Linked DNA regions of Tamandua tetradactyla. The protein of the gene in region 3 purifies or fractionates together with the protein of the main gene of each other region. This does not show direct contact. Links are inferred from orthologs where the notes say so. Each region holds a gene or a part of one and is shown on either strand. Other genes may lie near its edges.

Region 1 (7,260 bases), on a different chromosome or scaffold from region 3:
CATACCCCCAACTCAGCAGATGAGCACTTTGCATGTCTAGTTTGCAATTATTCTTATACAAGAAGTATCATTTCCCTCTATACCCAGCTTTCCAAAAGGGCCTATTGTGCTGTGAAAAAGAAAACAAAACCCGCCGACCTGGTTCTGATTTGGCTCAATACCCCATCTGCTAAGCAAGTTGAAAATTTTCAGAATTGACTCCTTTCTGGCAACAAGTGGCATAAAACAGTTTAAGCATGAGTCCCCATCATGCCTATTCACGCTGCTTCCAAAAGGAGGGGGTGGACTTACGACATATATCTGTAGTTTCTATTTTAGAAACGACATAAGTATCTCCATTTTTAAAGAGTACTTATTTAATTAATCTTCCAGCCACTTATTTGTTGCAGCTAACTTTGCTAGCACACGCTGCAGAGGAGAAATACCAAGGATTTTGCTATTTTGCTTTCTTGGCTGAGCACAGTATTATAATCCCCAAAGGAGTTATGCTTTAATAACCAGCATTATCCAAATAAATAAAAGACTCAAAGCATAATTTCAGTGTCCATATTTCAAAAATTTATTTATCTCAAACTGTGCATAATGGAGTAAAAACTTAAGTTGAAAATGTACCTGTTATCAGGGTGGCATTAGTTCAAATATATACAAGGATTATCGGCAAACTGATTCAAATAATACAGAGCCGAATCTTTAAAATACAACTACGGAAAATAAAGGGGGGAAAGCCTCAAAATATCACAATAAATTTACAGAAATATTACAAACCATAAGAAAATATTTCAAACACAGTAATTTCATATTGTCTTTATCTGAACAAAATGGAAAGTTGGGAAACAAAAGCTATTATAAATTACCGACAATGTCAACCTGCATGGCCATTTGGCTTTTAACAGTAAGTTAAAAAAATTTAGTACATCTAAAACTTTTGCCCTTTTAAAAGACCATGGAGATATTTTTGCCAGTACTTATCCTAATTTGTTTTCCTTTTGTACAATTTTTAAACAATTAAAATGTCCAAATCTGAATAATTTTCTTCTTTCCACGTTTGCAACTGTCCTAAATTTCAGCTGCAGAATAAAAATTCAGCAAGAAGACTCTCCTTGAAAAATATTGGCAAATTCTCAGCTTATAAACAATGGACATTTTGATTGCCATGTTTATCTTGATAAATACTGTACAAAAGTTGCTCGCAAATATTAAAACATTTTTTTCGTCGCTTGGAGACTAGCTCTAAATATTATTGGTAAAGACTTTTGCAAACTTTCTGCAAAGCTCCTACCGTACTACTAGAACTTTTGAAAAGTTTTGCGTAGTTTTCTTTCCTCCAGATCTATACAAGGTCCATTCCCCCCTCCCCACCTCCCCACCCTCCGGCTTTCTCTGTACAAAAATAGTCCCCCCAAAAGAAGTCCAGGATCTCTCATAAAAGTTTTCTTCTCGGCATCCTGTTTTTGCATGAGTGTGGATGGGATTGGGGTTCTCTTTTGCAGTTGTCGTTTGCTGCGGGCGATGGGATGTTCTTTTTTCACTTTATTTGTTTTAGCGTACTGGGTTTTTCTCCAGGCCGTTTCTTTTTCTCCTCTTTTGCACCCCTCCCTTCTCCCTCTCCGGTCCGCGGTCCGGCCCGTCTCACATGTGCGAGAGGGGCAGTGTGCCGTTAATAGCCGTCCCGGGCACCGGGCCGCTCTGGTAGTGCTGGGACATGTGCAGTCTGCTGGGGGCAGCGGGCTCGGGCACCTCGGCGCCAGGGAGGTACATGCTGATCATGTCCCGGAGGTCCCCGGCCTGGCAGGGCGCCCTGGAGTGCGAGGAAGAGGTCACCACGGGGGGGCTGGAGCTGGCCTCGGACTTGACCACCGAGCCCATGGAGCCGAGCGCCATGCCGGGGGTGCCCTGCTGCGAGTAGGACATGCTGTAGGTGGGCGAGCCGTTCATGTAGGTCTGCGAGCTGGTCATGGAGTTGTACTGCAGCGCGCTCACGTCGTAGCGGTGCATGGGCTGCATCTGCGCCGCGCCGTGCGCGTTGAGGCCCGGGTGCTGAGCGTAGCCCAGCTGCTCCTGCATCATGCCGTAGCTGCCGTTGCTCCAGCCGTTCATGTGCGCGTAGCTGTCCATGCGCTGGCTCACGCCCGCGCCCAGGCCGGCGCCCACCCCGACCCCGCTGGCCATGCTGTTGCCGCCCGGAGCCAGCAGCCCGCCGGGCAGCGTGTACTTATCCTTCTTCATAAGCGTCTTGGTTTTCCGCCGCGGCCGGTACTTGTAATCCGGGTGCTCCTTCATGTGCAGCGCTCGCAGTCGCTTGGCCTCGTCGATGAACGGTCGCTTCTCCGTCTCGGACAGCAGCTTCCACTCGGCGCCCAGGCGCTTGCTGATCTCCGAGTTGTGCATCTTGGGGTTCTCCTGAGCCATCTTGCGCCGCTGCCCGCGGGACCACACCATGAAGGCGTTCATGGGCCGCTTGACGCGGTCGGGGCTGTTCTTCTGGTTGCCGCCGGCCGCCGCCGCCGTGGCGTTGCCGCCGCCGCCCCCCGAGGCCGGCTGCGGGCCGGGCGGCTTCAGCTCCGTCTCCATCATGTTGTACATGCGGGCGCTGCGCGCGGGCCCGGCCCGCCAGGCGCCGACCCTCGGCGCGGCCGGGACTCCGGGGGGCGCGCGGGCGGGGGCGGAGGCGACGGGGAGGCGGGCGGGGGCGGCGGAGCGCGGGGCTCGGCGTGGAGCGCGGGCGCCGGGCCGGCCGGGGCAACAGCTAGGCCGGCCGCAGTCCGGGATGGAAGCCGCGCTCCGCCCGCCTCGGACTGCTCCCGCCGCCGCCGGCTGCCGCTCCGGGGGGAGGCCCAGGCCGGGGCGCCCACTGCTCTCCCCTCCTCTCGCTCCGCTTCTCTCCCAGTCTTAGTCTTAAAGAGGCAGCGAACTACTTTCCCCCCTTTGCAAACACTCTCTTCTCCGCCTTGACAACTCCTGATACTTTTTTGAACAAGTTAATAGACAACCGTCCATGTGACGGGGGCTGTCAGGGAATAAATGGGTTTCCAGCGGCCAATCAGCGCGTCGCGGCTCCTCCACTCGCGCCGGGCCCCGCCGCCGGGTTTTGCATGAAAGGGGGCGGGGCCGCGCGGGGGAGGGCGAGGGAGGGGGGAGGGCGAGGGACGGGGAGGGGGAGGCGGCTCCCACAGCCCGGCAGCCAACCACTGAGAAACCTTTGTATCCCCTCTCGCAGCAACAGGTCACACCACACGCCTTTTCGAAGGAAGTGGGTAAACAGCACTAAGACACGATTTTTTTTCTTCTTCTTTTTTCTTTAAACTTAATATTGATTTACTTTTTCGTACGGGGTGCTGAAATGAGGAGGGGGCACGGGAAGCAGCGAAGGGGTGGGGGTGGGGCAGGGCGGAGTGGGTGGTTCAGGGCAACTGTCCAACTAGTATTTCAGGAAACAGGCAATGCAAGAGTTGTTCTGTCATTGTTCTCCCGCTCGTTCGCCGCACTCTCCCCCCCAGCTCCCCCCCCACCCCCTTCCCCAGCACTGCCCTCCCTCACCACGCTCTTCCCTTCTCCTTTCTTCTTCGCCGAGTGCCCGCACTCCCTCGGCCCCACCTCACACTGTCCCGACAAGAAGTTACCAGACTGAAAGCTCTGTCCTCAAACCCTTTTTGCTTCTACATTGCTTTCTCTTATTCTGAAAAATAAATCCCGCTCGGGCCTTGAGGCCGACCCTGGAGCTGAGGACCGGCAGGGCCTTGGCGGGCGGCCGCCTCCACCTTCTTCACGGCCCCACGCAGTGCGTGGAACCAGGAATCCCCAGCCTTCCCTTCTGCTCCAGCCGCGGGCCCCCTCCCCTCCAGTCCTCCACGCGGTTGTTGCGAAGGGGACGCACAGACTCTCGTCCCCTCTCCCCATTTTCCTCCCGAGCCGCCCCCAAAGGATTTCAGTTTCAAAAGGGGCTGGGGGAAGGAGGAGACAGAGCGATGGCTCGAAAGTGCGGGAATGGGGAGAGTAAGTTTCACTTGCTGGCGCCCACTGCACAGCACGGAGGTGGCACTCGGGCCACACTCACAGACTCCCTCCTGCGCAGAGATAGCTCCTAGTGCTCGGGCAGGAACAGCTCTGGCATGTCCCCCGCAGCCATCTACCGCGGTGGCCGCATCCTCGGGAGCCGGGCGCCCCGGGCCCGCTAAGCACAGGCACAGGTGCAGGCCCACGGAGGGGGAGGAGGCCGGCTTGGCGGAGGGGGCCCAGCGGGGCGGGGCTGGCCGGGCTGGGGGCGGGGTAGGGGCTCAGGAATCCGGCCCGCCCGAGACCCAAGATGGTAATTTTAGCCGCACTCCCATTGTCCCGACCTAAAGATTTCAATAGGTAGGCGCTCAATGCCGCGAGCAACGGCAGCACGTCCGTTACAAATAGGTAGTTTTGTTTCTCTTGTTGTCGCTACACGGAGTCAAACAAAGCCCCGTCTAAGTTTCCTTCCACTCTCTTGTTGGGATCTTTGTGGCTAAAATGCACTTGACTACAAAGGGGGAGGGGAAAGAGAAGAAGAAGAAAAAGAAAAAGAAAAACCTGATGCCATTTCTTTTTTTAAAAAAGGCTTAAACCATCAGGATTACTTATTCTCTTTCTTCTGTAACTCTCTTTCCGCCCCCTCTTCCTCTGACCTACCCTTACTCGCCCTAAGAAAATGTACTGTTATCCACCGACCACGCTCCGTATATTGCTTTACAGAACCGTGCACTGTTTTGCTCCTTGCCAGCCCTCTTCACACAAGCGCTCCCCAATCCCTGCCCTCCTTGACTTTTCTGGGCTTGTTCAATTCAGGCTGTGTGTGACTACGGGAAATCCAGAAAAGTTCCTAAAAAGAATCCTGCAGACTCTTCCTAAAGGATTTCCCACCGATCTCCTCCCCCCCACGCCACGCCCCGTGGGCTCTCACTTTTCTCTTAAATTGTGGCTTGTTTTAGGTCTTGGGAGCCCAGGAAGGTGAGACCGAGCTTTTCGGAATGCATAAATAATATGATACGCTTCCAAATAATGTTTCTGTTTAATCGAAGTGTGATATTAGCTTCGATTATTAGGAAAGAAAATAGGGAAGGAACAGCTCGGAAGGAGCTGGGAGAAGGCTCGGCCGGGCTTCACACCGCGCCTGGTTTCAGAGGCGTGGCTGGTGCGCCCCCTACTGGTGCATCGTTTCGCTAAGACTATTGCTTTTACCTTAAAAAGAAAGTGTTTAGAAATAATTAAAGGGAAAAAATGAGGGGGGTGGGAGGAAGATTAAACTAATTACATGTAATCTAAACAAAAGAAACGCTAACAAATCATATAAGCCTTGGAACCAAATCATAAGAATCAGATTTAATTTGCTTAGCAGAAATGAACATATAACCTCGAGATAAGTGGGAGGTTAAACCATGGGAAAAAATAGGTACAAATTATGAGATTCAACATATGAATGAATTATGATTGTCCAGACGCAACGAAGGGCAGAACAAGCATTCACTTTATGATTGTGTATGCTTTGGTCTGAGCTTAATAGCATTATTCCAAAAACGAATCAAAGCTTATGGGTAATTAAGTTTGAAGAAAAAGATAAGGGGTTGGTGTGAATAATGGTAGTGTATATGTTTTAAAATAAATATTAATACCAGATGGTTGCAGAATCTTCAAATAATCACCTCCACCCCCCACCCCATAGTAAGCAGCACATAGTTTTCCTTGGGATAATATATAAAAAAAAGCTTTTATAAGAATTTCAGATGCATGTGCTGCTGTCTGAACTCTCTCATAATGCATTTAAGAGGTGAAAGGGGCTGGCTAGGTCCTTTGTTAATTGCTTTTATCATATAAATAAGCTATGGAAATACATTACAATTGTGTTATCATTGGTTGCACTTATTTACAGCTTTATTTTAATTAAGCTTGCTGAACTTATCAAGGCAATAAACTAACTGTGGCTGGCGTTTATGCATAATAATGTGCTATGAAAATAAGATTAAAGAAGGTGGTGATAATAGAAACAATTTTCTCATTAGATTTTTAGAACATATGCATTTTAAAAATTAGATCACTGGCCACTCTATTTCAACCCAGCACCACTACTGGCCCCTAAATATGATAGTAACTGTGACAATGACAACAGACAACAGAAGCAGAACTGTTAGATTCATAACAGACAGCTACAGAACTGATAATACACCATCGACTACTAGAGTATCAAAATAACACAGGGTGCTTCATCCTCTGAGAACTTAAAATGTTGCTGTGGGCACAATTTGTGAAAATTGAAAGCACTTAAAGACAGGGTAACATTTCCCTTCCATGGACAGTAAAAATCTACACACTTTTGCTGCAAGATTAGTAATTAGGGATAAAATGAATAGTGCCTGGGGTATCCTGATTTGATTTTATTCTACTATAAGCCCTCGTCAAAAAGTCTTAGCTGCCAAGTGTAACTTGATTTTATTAAACTTTTTTTTCCCCATTGCTTTCTCTCTTCTAAACTCCTCCCATCCACCCTCAAGTATTATATCTAGAGCCAACTAACAATTTTGTGGGGATAGGGGACTGTAGACTTATTTTTTCTTCTTAGTGGCAAATAGAGGTTTAACTTGCAGTAATTAGGTGAGAACTAGCCAAGCATCTTACTATTATGATGCTTGTTAAAAAACGCTTCTTTTCTGCATCTGCATTTGAGTGTGTTCCCCTTCTCTCTTAATCTTCTTATGGAAATGAAGGCAAACGGCAGGGAACCTGCAGAGTCTTGGAGAATGTCCTTGTTAACTGGAATTTCTCAGCATTGCTAATTAGCAGAGTTTGACGACCACCAGTATTGGGGAAAGCTCTGTTTAACCACTCACAAACCATTCTGAGGAAGAGCAGACTAATTTTATTTTGTAATTAAAATCTGAAAAGGGTCCTATTTGACAGTTAGGGCTATGAGAGTTTTATCTCCCTGTGAAATAATTACTGCCTTGATAACTCAATTTTCTGAAAAATGTCAACTGTGGGCTCCAAAAGTTTTAATTTCATTACATAAGAAAGGAGAGAGAGAGAGAGAGAAGTAGAACAAAATGTACAGAAAGGATTGCTAATTCTGAAAGTGGTTAAATATATTAGGAGCCAGATTTGGTCAAACGAAGCCCCCCATCCCCCCGACACACCCTTTTTGGTTATGTTTCCTCCACTCCACCCTTTCAGCAATCTCCACTGAAAGTGACCAGAACAGTAGTCACACTGCAGTACAAGTTACCATACCAGCAGTCTGATAAGGCA
Region 2 (7,828 bases), on a different chromosome or scaffold from region 3:
AGGCTGAATTTGAGTCTGGAAAGATGAGGATGACTATGTGGAGTAGGAGAGGAGGCTGCTTTAACAAGAGATCAGTGCATGCCAAGGAACCCAGGCCTGTCACATGCACCCAGGCACTGTAAATAGTGCAGCTGGGTATGGCTAAAGCCACAGTTGTGAGTTAGGAAACAGCCGGAATTATGTTAAGAGGTAGGCCAAAGCTAGAGGGAGGCTGGCTTTTATCTAACAAGTGACAAGGTTCAGGAGTGCCACTGGCCTGTTCGAAAAAGGTGCCAGACCAATTCAAACAAAGAACAAGTAGAAAAAGGCACCTACTTCAGACAGATCAATTAGAAAAGGCACCTCTTCCTCAGCAGAGAGGCCCCACAAAGCTTGACCACACAACTTAGATTTTAGCTCCCATCTGCATCCCTGAGTGCAGAGCACACACTACACCATCAATACACAATGGTCCTTATAAGGACAAATCATTTTGAGTACACTAGGCTTTTATTTTAGAAAGATCACTCCGGCTGAGGTAGGCAGATGAACTATGAGAAACAGCTTGGGATAGCTAAATGAGTCAGAAGCTTTTACAATAGTCCAGGCAAAACCTACTTAAGGATGAACAAATGATATACAGGAGGTGAAAATCTACATCCCACATGCAGTGCATGTGGGAGACAAGATTCAGTTAAGGAAATTTGAAGAGTAATGGTCCCTGTAATGCATTTTTCTTACATTCAATGTAAACTTAAAATATTAGACAAGATTACAAACACTAGCATGACTAATAATTTTAAACTCTGCAGTGTGATTGTGAGCAAGTCACTGAAATCTATGCATCTGCTACCTCTGAAAATAAAAGGTGACAGAAATTGTTGCAAAGGTCCTTCCAACTTTAAATTTTTTTTTATTTCTAAGTTATTACTTTGGTGAAGTCCTTTCAGAGGTAAAGAACAGTTCCTACACCAGAATGAGATGCAGTGCATAATCTGACTTCTCTTGAGCAGAGAATGTGCTTAACTGTCCTTGATGTTGAGATAATACATGGCACTACCCCAGAGCCTACATGAGGGCCAAGAACATGGCAGGTGTTCAGTGCTTGTTGAATAAATTAACAATATTTTTCTGTTCTAGATCTTCATACCGTTCCTCTTGGCCAACTCCTTCTTCTCAGCTTATAAATGTACTCAAGCCCATACACTTCACATCTACAATTTTCAGGACCTTCTTTGTAGGTAGCCTTAGTCATTCCCAAACCTTCAAACACTTGACTTTCATAAAACCCAAATCTGTATCTTAGGCCAAGACCCCCTTCAAGCTACAGGTTTCCTAACAGGCATGTATGCACGCTCCTCAGACTGGTGAACTAAGATCCTCTCCCATCCCCAATCCATTTTTGTTGTGGCCTGTATCTCGGTGAAAGGTGCTGCTCTGAACTATCACCTAAGCAGGTCACCTGGGAATTCTTCTGCCTCGTGTCTCTTAATGACCTCTCTCTTCTAACTGGTCATCAGGATCTATCCATTCTCTTTGATTTCTGAAATACAATCCTTCTGGCCAACCCCATACTTTATAATTAGAACCTCTAGATGCCAGGATTCAATTTGCTTTCAATACACTGCCCTCCACAGGAGAATGGAGTGAGGTCCTGAATCTGAGGCCAATCTCATCACTCCATCAACTTAATGCCTCAGGGATTCCTCATAGATATCAAGGAAAAATTCTAAATCCATGACAGGGCAAACAATGTCCCTTGCTTCGGATTTTAACATTCAAATTTTGGCTCGTCTCAAACTTTAAGTTCTAGTTCAGTTCCTCACTTTTGCCATATTGTCTCATATTCCCAAGACTTTTACAGAAGTTGCTCTCTCTTGCCATCAGACTACCTTCTACACAGTCTTCAAAAATAGATCAGATAGCACCTCCCTCCTCCAATTTCTGGGGCTCACTCTACACAGCACTGACCAAGAACTGTGTTTACCTGCTGCCTCCCCCAAGTGAAGGAGAGATTCTTTTAGGTCAGGGGTTGTATCTCCAGTGCAGTGCTTGGTGAGCCCATTCTAGTGCCAGAATGCTTCATACAATCTTTAATCTTAAAACCCTCCATGGAAAGAGCTGTTTTTCATGCCATTTTACGAATGCAGGAATTGTAGTTCAAAGAGTACATAACTCGTCAAGGTCATATAGAATATAAATCCTCGAATTCAAAATAGCCTGTCTCCAACACCTGTGCTCCTTCTATTTCACGCTACTAATAAAAACAAAAAATTTTTTTAACATAAATGGCTTAATAGAAAAAAAATCAAGAAAGAAGCTGGAACGTATCATTTTCTAAACCGCTTTGTTCTTTGTGAGGCAAGGTCATCAGCAAAATAGGTTAGTATTTGTCCAAGGCTTACTGATGTTCCAAATTCTGTGCAACATGCTGTACAAGCATGAACTCAGTTGGTGAATCCCTGAGTTCTGTCACCCAGCCACGTTAGAGGAGAAAACGGAGGCTCGGACATCTAGATCGCCAGGGTCCCCCAGCTGGAAAGGGTTCTAGGCTGCAGAACCGTCTACTGCACACACGCCCCGCGCTCGACACCCACAGCTCCCACCCGTTTCGCGGCTAGTCCAGAGGGAGGCACGCCGCACCGACACCAGGGGCACTGGCAGCGGGAGCTACAAACCTGTTTCCCCAAGCCACGGTTGGAAGTAGCTCTTTATAGAGACCAAGGGCAGATCTTTATTAACCTTGAGGGAGCTCAGGAGGGGCGCCCAGTCCACCACGCGGAGGCGGTCGGCGTTGAAGTCCAGCACGCCCTCCTGGAGGCAGGCGCGCACGGCGGGCAGCGGCACCGAGTCCTGCAGCGCGCACAGGTACTCGTAGTGCGAGAAGAAGTCGGCCGTGCTGTCGCGGCGCAGCTTCACCGAGTCGATCATGGCGAGAGGAGCGGGGTCCTGAGGAAGACCCGCCGCGGAGACAACGCCCGCACCCACCGAGGAGTTCCGGGCTCGCCGTCCGCCACCCTCGGGTGTCCTCGGCTCGGCAGCTGCGGCGCGACGCCTTTCTCAGGAGGGCTGCTGGGCCCGAAGACGCAGGCCCTGGGTCCAGGCTAGAATGGCCCCTCGATGCCGCGCTCCCGCGCCACCTCCCGCCTCGCTGCCGAGGCCGTTGGCACCCGCCTCATCGTCTACCTCGCGCGGATACGGTTCCAGCCGGCGGGAGAAGCCAGCGGCGGTCAGCGCAAGCAGACGTCAGCACGCTCGCCATTGCGTCCGCACGCAGGCCACGCCCCCTTTTAATGGGCGGGCCGGGAGAAGGCGCCAGGGCGCGCAAGACAAAGAAGGGAGGTGGTTGTATGAATCTGGGGTTTGCAAAAAGCGCTAACATATCAGGATAGAAGTGAGATATGAACGTAACTGTGGTGTCTTTAGTCTAAACTTCGAAAATTGTATTCTTGTGTTTGCAGCTCTTGGACAGAGTACAATCAATAAATAAGGGATATATGAACGATTGCTTCAGTGTTCACTGTTGTCCATTAAATGTCTTTTTAAAAAAAAGTTTTTTAAACTTTGTCCGAGTTAATTCCTGCAAATTATTCTGTTTCTAGCTAACTTCCACCGTTGCTGCCGAATTAAAAAGTGTTCTCTGAATTGCGGACATTATTGTGAATACTGTAATTATTGATTACCAATAATCCCTGTCTAAATTAATGAGAAAAACAGCAGACACTGCAATAACGAGTCATTCTACAATATACCTGTTAGTCCTCTTCACAACTTGCAGGGTAGTCAAGCCCAAGGAAAATTTGAGTAATTGTCACAGGCAAGAAGTGTCTAAGGAAACAACAACTCAATGTTATGTGGCATCATGGATGGGATCCTGGATCAGAAAAGACACTAGATACAAACTTTGGAAATCTAAATGAAATATGTACTTTAGTTAATGAAAATGCATCGATACTGGTTTGTCAGTTGCAAGAAATGTAAGGTGTTAATAATAGGGAAAACTGGGTGAGGGATAAAAAAATATTTGACAAATTTGCATATATTGATATAGGAAGATATCCATGATACATTGTAAAATGAAATAGGCCTTACAGAATAGAGACAAATATTATGTATGCATATATACTCATGAGAATGTAAGATACATGAGAGAAGAGACTGTCTTACTTACCTGCAGCATCTAACTGATACATAGTGGGCACTAATAAATATTTGTGGACTGAATGTTAAGTACACAGAAAATGACCTGGAAGAATGAACAGTGCATTATTATCATTAGTTACCACTATTGAGGGGAGTAGGATGGAATGGTAGTGAAGACTTGCAGTGTTTGTACTCTAAATTTCTGATGTTTAGTTTTAAAAGTATGCATTAATATTTGTGCTTCCTGGCTCCTAATGTGCTTCAATCCCAGCAGCCAGCCCCTGAGTCTTCTTTGCTAGGCTGCTCTCAGGCTATCAGAAATGGCTAGTAACTAGTTTAACTAGTAACAGAAGACAGGGGTGTAAAAGCTCTGACAATTTAACCCTTGTGCAATGCAGAGGTATACTTTTTGTCGTCTCTACAGCTCACCTGAGATTCAACCTAATTTCACTGACTTCAGGGTGCTTTATTTCAAGTTGCATCCTTTTAATGGTCTCCTTCCATTACAAGTTCCCTGGATTTTCTCAGAACCGCTCCTCCTCTCAAAGTCTGCTTCCTCTAAGTCACCTGTATAATTTCTTAAAATTTTCTTTAAAAATCAGTGCTTATTGGACAATAAGATAATTGACTTTCTCAAACCTTTCCAACGTGCAAGATTCTAAATTTATGTTAAGAAATATCCAGGCACAGCTCCATAATTTACGGGGCCCATCAGAAAATGGAAATGTGTGGCCTCTTGTTCAAAATGCAGAAAATAATGGGGTTAAAGGTAGAACTTTTTTCTTTCTTTTGAAGTTCCTTTATTTGTCATTATGTTTTTTTATCTACTATTGACTGAATTTCAAAGAAATGAAAAATTAAAATTTTACATTAGCCTGAATTTTCCCGTTCACCTTTATGTTGTGCAATGACATTATTAAATGCAAACCTAAGAACTTCTCACTTGTATGAGAAATCTCCAAAATTATGCAATTTTTATTCTGTAGCTTACACATGCATATATATTTCATTCTTATAGAAGTGCTGCACAAAACTAACTTAGTTTTAATTTCACTTTTGTGTGTGTGTGTGTGTTCTGATCTTTCCCTTGATTTATTTTTCCATTTCCCTACTTTGCCTTAATATCTCCACAAATGTATAAATTAATGTGACAGAGTGAACTGAAAGGTTTAGGAGGCGAAAGGGTGAGAAAGAAGAAAGGTACACCAGGAAATTTAAAGTGTGTGTAGGGGGTATTTCTGTGCTCCAGGCAGAACTCATCAAAGCCAAGATGGAGGGAGGTGAGTGCACATGCGGGCTTTGGCACAGGCAGCTTTTAAGGATGGAGGTCAGGTGACGTCTGGAAGGGGCAGTTCATTAGTTCCGGAAGTCAGGCTGGCGACACAGCCTCCACAGCTCCAGTTGCAGTGCCCTTCCCCGTTTCCCCGACCTAACATTCCAGCCTTTTTGTGATAATAGGGCGCTGAGATCTTTCTGGCTACTTCCTGCTGTAATGGGGCAGCGTGGGGTTATAGGCCGGAACCATCATGACTAGGGGAGTGGGGAGGCTGGCTGTAGGAATCTGGTGAGGAGGGCAGGTGATGATAATGATGCAGGAGCATCTGGTTGACTGCTATCCAGGATAGTTCCTTCATGCATCCCTGAAGGAAGTTGAGGAGGCAGGGAGCTAGGAGAAAAGAGACAGATTAGGATAACTGGTCCTAGTAGCGGGAGGAGCCATGTCGTCAGAGGAGAAGAAAACCAGCTTAAAGCAGAGTTGGTTCCTCGTTTTCTGTGGTAGAGATCGTCTCTTAGTTTGTTTAGGGTTTGAATATTTTGTTCCACCAGACCTGACTCATTGACGTAATAACAGCATTCCTCTTGGAGGAATATACACATTCCTTTTTTCAGATGTCAGCAGATCTAAGGGCCGTCAATTTTGAAGAGTTACCTGTGCTAGTGAGATAAGTTGGTAATGTAAAGAGGAGAGGGATTCTGATGTCAATTCCAGGGCTACCTGTAGTCAAGTTTCGAAGATTTGAAAGGTTAAAATACCATGTCCCAGTGCCCCTCCCAGTGTGGTTGAGGCTGCAACTGAGGCAATTAGGTTGATGCCTCCCATGATGGGAAGGAAGGCAGCCCTTTATGAGCGAGGAGAGGGCAGTAGCCAGGTTAGTTCGGACTCCCCATAGAGGGTCAATTGAGGAACAATAGTAACCAGGAAGCATGGTCCTGGGGCAGTGGAATTAAGGCACTTGGTAAGAGTTCCATTACACCAGAAATATTGTCCTTTGGGGGCATGGGTGCTGTGGATAGTGACGTTAGTCTGGCACTTGCTATGAAGTTTTGTTTGAGGGTTTTTTATCCAGTGTAGTGAGGTTCTTAATTTGGCAAGAAGATCTTGCCCCATTAGCGGGCCGGGGCAAGAAGGCATTACTAAGAAAGAATGTGTAATGGGGTACCCTTCTATTAAACATGTAAGAGGCCCAGTACTTAAGGGGCGTGAAGGATGGCCGTCTATGCCCATAACTGTGACCTGGGAAGGAAGGAGTTGACCTGAGTAAGAGGGGAGGACAGAAAAGATAGCCCCTGTGTCCACTAAAAAGGAGGTGGACTTAACCGCTACCTTGATTGTTACGCTGGGCTCAATGAGGGTGATTGAGGTCTCTGAGGCCGGGCGTTGTCAGTCGTCAATGGCCAGGCCCAGGACTGCTAGCAGTAGGTTAGGGGTTGGAAGGATGGCCGCTCCACGGCCAGGCGCCAAGGGGCAGTCACTTTTCCAATGTCCCTTTGTACCACAGAGAGGGCATGGTCCCTTGGGCGGTCGAGGACTGGGGCACTGGTAGGACCAGTGTCCGTCAAGGCCACATTTGAAGCACTTTCCTGGTGGTGGATTAGTCGTACCCAGTTTCGTCTCTGTTGAAGTGAACCGCAGAGCCGCAATCAGGGATTGGGTTTGTAAAGTTGCCTTTTGGCGGTCCCGGGATTCCTTTTCTGCCCTCTCTAGTTCATCATGAGTATTAAAAATTTTAAAGGCAGTGTTTACCAGGTCACAGATAGGGGCCTGAGGACCGTCCTCAATTTTTTTAAGTTTACACCTTATATCTGGAGCCAATTGGGATATAAAGTATGTGGCTAAAACAGTTTTACCAGCCTCTGAGTCGGGGTCTAGGCGGGTATATTGGGAGAGGGCTTCTGCGAGCTGGTGTAGAAAAGTGGCCAGGTTTTCATCAGGACCCTGGGTAATTTCCCTTAGTTTATGGAAGTTTACTACTTTATGTGAAGCTTTCTGCATGCCGACTATGAGGCATGTAAGCATTTTGTCCCATTTAGTTCACCCGTTCCTCCCCACTGGAGTGTCAACCTGATATTTCCACCCTGGCTCTTGGCCTGGCACTGCCTCGGCCCCTACCGGCATTGTGTGGTCGGTTATATGCACCTGGTTAGCATGAGCCCTGACTGCATTGAAAATGCGGTCCATTTAATCTGTAGTTAGGGAAGAAGAGCAGATTACATGAATGTTATGCCAGGTTAAATTGTAGGCATTAGCTAGATATTGAAATTCCTTATTATAGGCGCTTGGGTTGCTGGAGAATGAACCTAGCCATTTCTCAATATTAGAGAGGTCAGCTAGAGAGAAAGGGGTGTGTACTCGAACCCCTCAGGTCCCACAACTTTCTGTAGTGGACAGTAAAGAGTTCTTTGAGTGGGTATGAGAGCTTATAAG
Region 3 (7,692 bases):
TTCATTTTTCCCAAAGAGCTTAGGGAAGATTGATACTTTTTTTTTTTGCATGGGCAAGCACTGGAAATCGAACCCGGGTCTCTGGTATGGCAGGCGAGAATTCTGCCACTGAGCCATCTTTTTAGCTGTTTGGCATAATTAAGAAGTGAAGCCATCCTTTCCCAGAGTTTCTTTTGAAGAAAGGTTTTAAATTAGAATTTGATTTTTTTAAATAGTTATAGGACTTATCAAGTTTCTAGTTCTTCTTGAGTCAGTTTTTGCCAATGGTATTTTTGCTCTCTGTAATTTAAACCCTGTTTTCATTTGTAACAGTTGCCGGAATGAAATATATCTGAAATGAATGGCTTTTAAAAAGGGAAATTTATCAAGTTGCAAGTTTACAGGCATCCAAGGAAAGATACCTCAATTCAAGGAAGGTCGATGGGTCAGACACCAACTCTGTCAGCTGGGTAGTCAGGTGGCTGGCTCTGCTGGTTCCTTGCTCTTGTTACTTTCAGGCTCTGTCCCTGTGAGTGTTCCTCACTTTGCTTCTGTGGAGCCAGCTTTCATCTCTTGACTTCCCTTGGCTCTCTCCAGGTTCTGGCTTGCTTAACATCTCATGATGATGTCTGCTAAGCTCCAAGTATCTCCAAACATGCATGTTTCTGTTCTCTGAAGTAACTGATCTCCAAGCATCTACATCTGTTCTGTCATTGCTGAGGCTTCCGACACTTCTGACTCTCCAAAATGTTTTCTATTTTAAAGGAATCTAGTAAACTAACCAAGATTCACCTGGAATGGGTGGAGGCACATCTCCATCTAATCAAAGGTCACATCCACAACTGGGTATCCCACATCTCCATGGGGATATTCTAATCAAAAGTTTCTATATACAATGTTGAATCAGAATGAAAAGAAATGGCTGCTTTGACAAAATTGGATCAGGATTAAAACACGGCTTTTCTGGAGTACATGATAGATTCAAACCAGCACAAATCCCTACTGTTATATTCTGTCAACATTCATATACCTATATATTTTCCCTTTTCATTCTTCATTCCCATTTGGCTCTGTGATCTTATACTGGGTAATCATTTTCCTTTTGCCTGCTAATTTTTTCGCACATTTCTTTTTTCTTTCTTCCTCCTTCTTCATTTTCTTTTTTTTTATGTATTATTTTAATTTTACTTTCGGTCTTGAAATTCTTGAGAGTTTTCTTTGGCTTGCAAATGGGCAAGGCTTGAAGTGTCAGCGAATTAACAATCCAGGAGCAACCCTGAACTTCTTGGGGAATGGAGTTGATCAATAAATTTCTATATGTCCAGTTTTCTCCCCACTCAGTGGGACAATTCTGAGTGTGTTCCACACAGTCTTTTAGAGGGTCCCCAATGAGACTGAACTCCAATTACCCACAGTGGTAAAACATTTATCAGGATATACTGTTTATTGGCTTTTCTTCCTTCCCTGGCTCATTTCTCCAGTTCCACACAGTGCTTCCTAGGGTCACCTCCCAAATAAGTAACTTTACCTCCAGTTCTGCTTTTGGGGAAATCAAATCTAAGACATGGTCTATCTCAGGGATCCAGCCCTTCAAGATCTCAACACAAAGTAATAGGGGCTCATTAGTGCTCCCCACTGCATTAAGGGCCCAGACATCAATCCCTGTTATCTTAGCCCTGAGTGCTGGTCAGAAGAACTGCTTAGCATTTTGGCTTTTTAGCCTATCTTTCTGGAATTGATATTTATCCCTAGGAGAAAAAGTGGTTACAAACACAAGACTCACCTTCCTGGTTCCATTCTTCCCTTAGGTATTGATTTGGTAATTCATTATTATTTTGTTAGTTCTCTTGTGCCTTTGGGCAGATTTAAATAAATATTTTGTTTAACTTTTCTAATTGTCCTCAGAGGGAGATTAATCCAAATTATCAGAAAGGAATTTTGACTCTTCAAAGAGCTTTTGCCTGTGCCTTGTTTATCTTTATTCCCCTATCTCCATTTCCTCTACCCCCACCCATGCCATGGACTTTCACAACCCCGTGCCTTTATCTTGTTTTCCTCTGTCCAAAATGTGAACCACCAAAGTGTAGAGTCCTGGAAGAGGAGGATTGTCCCAAACATGCCAGCCTGGGACAACAAAAAACATCAATGCCAAGGTAGTTTTTAGTCAAAGATCAAGTGGGCAGTTTGAATGGGCTGCCAAGAGGCCAGACTTCAACAAGGCGAGAAAGTCACAATTCTAGGAAACTCGGCATGAGTAAATCAAGTCAGAAGCAGGGTGGAAGCAAAATGAAAAGAAAAAGATGAAGGACAGATTTGGAAAAAAGAGAAATGAGGCAAGGTATGGTCATCGTGTGGAGCTGGCTCATAGGTACATTTAAAAGGATCAGGTTTAAGCCAGGAATTATATTTGGCCAGAACATTCTTGAGGGCTCAGCTTAATTCTCTTGGCTGGAATCACTTCCTCCTTTAACTTCCATAATACTTTTATTATATTTATCATATCACTTTTTTACTGTTGACTTTGAACAGTCTGTTCCTTCTAAATTTTTAACTACTAGATGGCAGCAGTAGAATCAGAGTCAGAAGATCTGGGATTAACTCTCAACTTCAGCACCTGCCTATGGTCTCTGGGCCTCAGTGTTCTCGTCTATACAATGGGGAGAATATTATTTACACCATAGTGTGACTTGAGGATTAAAAGACACAAAGTATACAAAATGGTACACAGTGAGTTTTTCGTAAATAAAAGCTTCCATTTGCTGAACCTATTATGAACTGCTCTAGGTGCATGAGATACATTATCTCACTCAGACCTCACTATGACCCTTTGTAGCTCTATTATTATGGAATATTTTATTAATAGAGAAAAAAGAATCTGATGGGTTAAATAGCTTAATCAATGTCACAATGTCCTGGTAAGTTACAGAACCAGGACTCAAATCCAGGTCTGTTCTGGCTCTAAACTAGCAGTCTCTATTGGGCCACCCTGCTTCCCCATATTGGTCTTGAACTCACTTTAAAAAAAAAATTAATTTTATTAATTTTTAAATTAAAAAAATATATAACACAAACATTAACATATGATCATTCCGTTCTAATAATCAATAATTCACATCATCACATAGTTGCATATTCAGCATCATGATCATTTTTTAGAACATTTGCATCAATTCAGAGAAAGCAATAAAAAGACAACAGAAAAAATTCATACATACCATACTCCTTACCCCTGCCTTTCATTGATCACTAGTATTTCAATCTAAATTTATTTTGACATTTTGAACTCAGTTTTTAGTCTAAATTAATCTGGGCCAATCTTGGAGATGGTGACCTACAAAAGTGTTCCTTTGTATGTCTCCAGGGATACCTAGCCTATCCTGATTTATAAATTTTCACACATTTCGCTCAAAGGAACTTCCTAAGCAAAAGAGTGTGTGTTTATGTTATGCATTAAGAGGGGAAATGTGACATTTCTACTTAAATACATTTTACATGACCCCTAACTTACGGAACATCCACACAGACTGGACAAGATGCTTTATGTTTTCAGTTTCTGTTCTTAAATTCCTTAAGTTTGAGAGTTCCTCAGAGCTTCTTGTCTTTTTGATGAGATTATAGGAACCCAGAAAAAAGCATATAGAACCATTAAAAAATTAATGTATAGAATTATATACATTATATGTATATAGAATACATACATCATCTTTCATTTAAAAGTAATTTTAAAGAATCATGAATCATTTAAATCAGGAGATTTGAAATTTCCACATTTTGTTTTTGTGTTAAGTGAAGAGGGTGGTGATGGGGGAAATTGGGAAGCGTAGGATTATAAAATAAGTTGCTGCAAAGTCAGCTCCATGATCCTACTATTACCTTCTGGGAAGGTCCTTACATAACTACCTTACTTCTCCAATAAAAATAAAACTGTTTATTTCTTGCTTCTTAACTGTTTTTACGCTGCCACTTGAAATAAAACTGCGGATGCAGGACGAAAAAACAAGGAAAACCCCCTACGAGTCCGCAAAATAATTAGGGTTGCCCCAGGGAAATCATAAGAAGCATACAAGAACTCCTCTTCCTTCTTACACACACACACACACACACACACACACCCTCCCTCCAGAGCTCGCTCCCCGCCGCCTCCTAGCTAACACGTGCTCTCCTGAACACTCACTCCGGAGATTCGCCCCCCCGGGGGGGCTGGGCTCGGAAGCCGAGCCGGCCAATCCGCACGCGCCTTACAGCGTCGTGGCCCGACCACGTTGAGCCGTCCAATCGAAAAGGTCTTACCGCCCGTTTCCCGGAGCCCCGCCCCCTCTCCGTCGTGCCCCCGCCTGCCGGTCTCCTCCCTCCTCCTCCACCCGTTCGCCCCTCCCCCGCCCCTCCGGAGCGGAGCCTGCGAGACGGAGAAACTGGGGCAGAAGTGAAGATGGCGGCGGAGGTGCTGGCGGCGGCGGCGGCTACGGCTTCTCGCCAGTGACGCGCGGTGCGGGCTCATCTCCCTCGCCACCTTCCCTAGTCCGGACCCCGTCCGCCGCCGGGACCACACCGACCCCGCAGCCCGCCCCTCTCCACCCTTCCAGTCGCCCCCTTTCCCGACTCCCGGCTGCCGCTGGCGGCGGCGCGCCTCGGGTCCCAGCCGCCGGCCTCGCACTCCTTCGACCTGTCGCGGGGGGAGCGGGTGGCGTGTTGATCCGCCCTCCTGCCCTCCCCGCCGGGCCGCCGGGCCGCGGACATAACGCCCGGCAGGGAGGCGGCGGCGGCCCCTGCGCATTTGTTTCCCTCCATTTGGGCACTGGGAGGCGGCGGCGGCAGTTGTGGGTTTTGGGGAGGGGAAGGGTATTCGGGGAGGAGGGTGGGCGAGAGAGGGAGAGGGCTGTCCCCGGGAGGAGGACGAGTAGGAAGCACCATGACGTCCATCCATTTCGTGGTTCACCCGCTGCCGGGCACCGAGGACCAGCTCAATGACAGGTAAAAGGGCCGGCCGCCGGGCGAGCGGGGGAGGGCCGCCCTCCCCTCCCCCACGGGGCCGCGCTGGGGCGAGCGCTGGTGTTTACGCGCTGGCCGACCGCTGTTGGGGGGCGGGGGGTGGACGTGGTCCTTGCTGCCCTCGGTTAGGCCCCTTCTAGGGCAAACTTCTTGTCCCTGGGGCCGGGGGATGCGGGGGGAGCGCGGTGTAGACGAGGGACGCGGTGTAGACTGGAGAGAGCGCTGCAGCCCCCGCCCAGAGGAGCCGCGTTGAACTCGGTGGAGATGGGGGGCTCGGTTCCCGGGGGCGGGCTGTAATTACCGCCCAGGCCCGAGGAATCCATATTAGTCAAAGTTGAATTGAGACAGACAATGCGGATGGGGGATGGTGAAGGTAAAAAGAGGGAAGAGGAGAAGCGGAGAAGCGGGGCTTGGGGCTCGGATTGGGCTGGGGCGGGCTCGCCCCGGCCCCTAGGAGCTCTGTCCGGAGGGGTGTACGGAAGCCACCAGGCTTGGGGATCTCGGGAAGAAGCCGATTCCCGGCAGATCGGGGTGGGGGTGGGGTGCGCCGCGAGGGAAGCAGGAAGCGCCATGATTATTGTTATTATTATTAAATTTGAGCCCCTGCAGTGAGCTTTGCCAGCCCGGGGAGGGAATGAATTCCACAGGGGGTGGGGGAGCGGGTTCTCTTTGCTCTCTCTCTTCCGAAACGGTGCTGGCAGTTCATCCTCAAGTCTCTTTGGTGCGAGCTTTTTTGTTTCCTTTTTTATTCTAATGATAGTGTTTTCCTGAGTTGTAATTTGACAGCTGAAGACCGTGCATAGAGTCAAAGGAAAACTCTTACGTTTGCAATTCGCAGTGTTGCTTAACGCGCTGTACATTTCTGAGATGGGTTTGCTATGAGCGGACGAGGAATTATTATTTTTTTGTCTTTTATAAGAAGGCTGTTTTCGCTGTGGATTCCTCTTCATCTCTTCACCAGCGTACCCTGCCAGTTCAGGATATTCAAATTGCAGGGCCGCCTGCTCACCGGGAACTGAGATAAAGCAGGAAAAGTTCCTTTACTGTTGCAAAAACAAGAGACTCAGGAGGTTGAGAGAGGCCTCCATTTAACCATGCTTTAAAATCTAGGGCTCAGATCTAGTGATGGGCATAATGTTAAAAGGGTCAGAAAATGGGGCATTTAAACTCTTCCTCCGCTCCAGGGCTTTATCTGCTATCTGTATTTCTTTTGAATGTAGAAGCCATTTGGTCCCAAATTTAGAAGTTAGGTATAAATTTTTGCTAAGTGACCCGATGACATAATTTGCATGACGCCCTGTTTGTCATTCACTTCAAAGAGGGAAGAGGAGGCTGAATTTGCTGTTAAGATATTGTCTCTGTCTCAGTGTATGTATGTAACCGCCTCAGGTCGGCCAACAGCTTTTGTATCCAAAAGCGGGCTGTTTAGTTTCTGGCACTGGGTTCGGATTTGTCTGATCTTGGCTGTAGCCATATTGTATTTAACATGTGTGTGAAACTTTTGAAATACTTTTTGGAAATGTTAACTATTTGGAGTTGTCACATAGTTCCCTTAAATATTGAGATAACTTTTAAGCTTTTAAACGTTTTGTCATGTGCTCCTTACTATGATTTTATTTTGTTAGAGATCTTTTTAAGACTTCAGCATAAGATTCTTTGTAAATGTAGAAGTCATCGTATTAAGACCAGGCTAGTAGTAAGGATAGGTTTAATGTCGTTCACAGAACCATGTCAGTAGCGCTTAACTTAGAAAATTATTTTCTATATTACTCCTAACGTTATGTATCAAGAATCCTGACTAGTTTACTCAATTGGCTATGCATGTCAAAAACTATTTATTTTACAGTTGTGGTAAATGGTTCATTTTTGCACTTTTTAAATTTTGCTTCATTGAGCAATATACAAGTTATGTCTTTTTTAAGCTACCTTTTCCATGCCTACTGCAAGCAGTTTATCAGCTTATGTTTTTATTACTGTGATGTCTGTGTGTAATATTAAGAATATTTAATCTTCTTGAGTTTTCACTTCCTGAAACAAGGAAAAAGACAAGTGGATTTTATTCAGATCATAAAATGTGTGCATCATTGTGAAAAATATTTGAAAAAGGGAGGTGTTGTACGTAAAATTTTAGGGCTCTCTAGTTGTATCTAAAATGTCTCATCCATGTAGATTTATTTTGTGAAGGCAGTATTTGAGACAGTTATGACCCTGTTTTGAAGTAGTTGACTTGCGGTGGGAGCTGTTCTGTGTCTCCCCTGCAAAAGAAATGATCCTCTTTGCATACCTACTCGCACAGTTATAAGATCAGCTTTTTGCTGCATTGCTTGAGAAAAATCTTTTTTTGAGAGTTTTTCTTTCTGAAACTTTTTAATTGACTGTAACAAGCAGCTCAGCCTATTTTCAACAGATACAAACTTTATTAAGGGTTACTAAGTTTGGGGAAATAGAAAGGAGTGTGCTAATATAGTTTGATTTTTGTTAATTTATTTTTTATTCAACATACAAACATTCTTACAATGTGATCATTCCATTCTTGTTATATAATTAATAACTCACAATATCATCACATAGTTGTATATTCATCATCATGATCATTTCTTAGAACATTTGCATCAATTCAGAAAAAGAAATAAAAAGAAAACAGAAAAAACCCCATACATACCATACCTCATACCCCTCCCTTTCATTGATCACTAGCATTTCAATCTACTAAATTTATTTTAA

What was found.
Region 1: the proteins of UBR5 (region 3) and SOX2 purify together in Homo sapiens (affinity purification with western blotting; 3 studies listed by BioGRID and IntAct, with this or other methods). This does not show direct contact. The link is inferred for Tamandua tetradactyla from reciprocal best matches to the Homo sapiens genes UBR5 and SOX2.
Region 2: the proteins of UBR5 (region 3) and centrosomal protein of 78 kDa-like purify together in Homo sapiens (affinity purification with western blotting; 3 studies listed by BioGRID, with this or other methods). This does not show direct contact. The link is inferred for Tamandua tetradactyla from reciprocal best matches to the Homo sapiens genes UBR5 and CEP78.

What each region holds. Positions count from the first base shown.
Region 1 is NC_135331.1:80,244,090-80,251,349, reverse strand, and holds SOX2 (transcription factor SOX-2), read right to left. Parts: upstream 2,584-7,260; coding exon 1,630-2,583; 3' UTR 544-1,629; downstream 1-543. UniProt on the Homo sapiens protein: Transcription factor that forms a trimeric complex with OCT4 on DNA and controls the expression of a number of genes involved in embryonic development such as YES1, FGF4, UTF1 and ZFP206. Binds to the proximal enhancer region of NANOG.
Region 2 is NC_135328.1:108,966,160-108,973,987, reverse strand, and holds the start of centrosomal protein of 78 kDa-like, read right to left. Parts: upstream 3,022-7,828; 5' UTR 2,911-3,021; coding exon 2,658-2,910; intron 1-2,657. Other genes in the region: centrosomal protein of 78 kDa-like, read right to left, coding at 5,631-5,788. UniProt on the Homo sapiens protein: Centriole wall protein that localizes to mature centrioles and regulates centriole and cilia biogenesis. Involved in centrosome duplication: required for efficient PLK4 centrosomal localization and PLK4-induced overduplication of centrioles.
Region 3 is NC_135332.1:146,898,106-146,905,797, reverse strand, and holds the start of UBR5 (E3 ubiquitin-protein ligase UBR5), read left to right. Parts: upstream 1-4,664; 5' UTR 4,665-4,888; coding exon 4,889-4,950; intron 4,951-7,692. UniProt on the Homo sapiens protein: E3 ubiquitin-protein ligase involved in different protein quality control pathways in the cytoplasm and nucleus. Mainly acts as a ubiquitin chain elongator that extends pre-ubiquitinated substrates.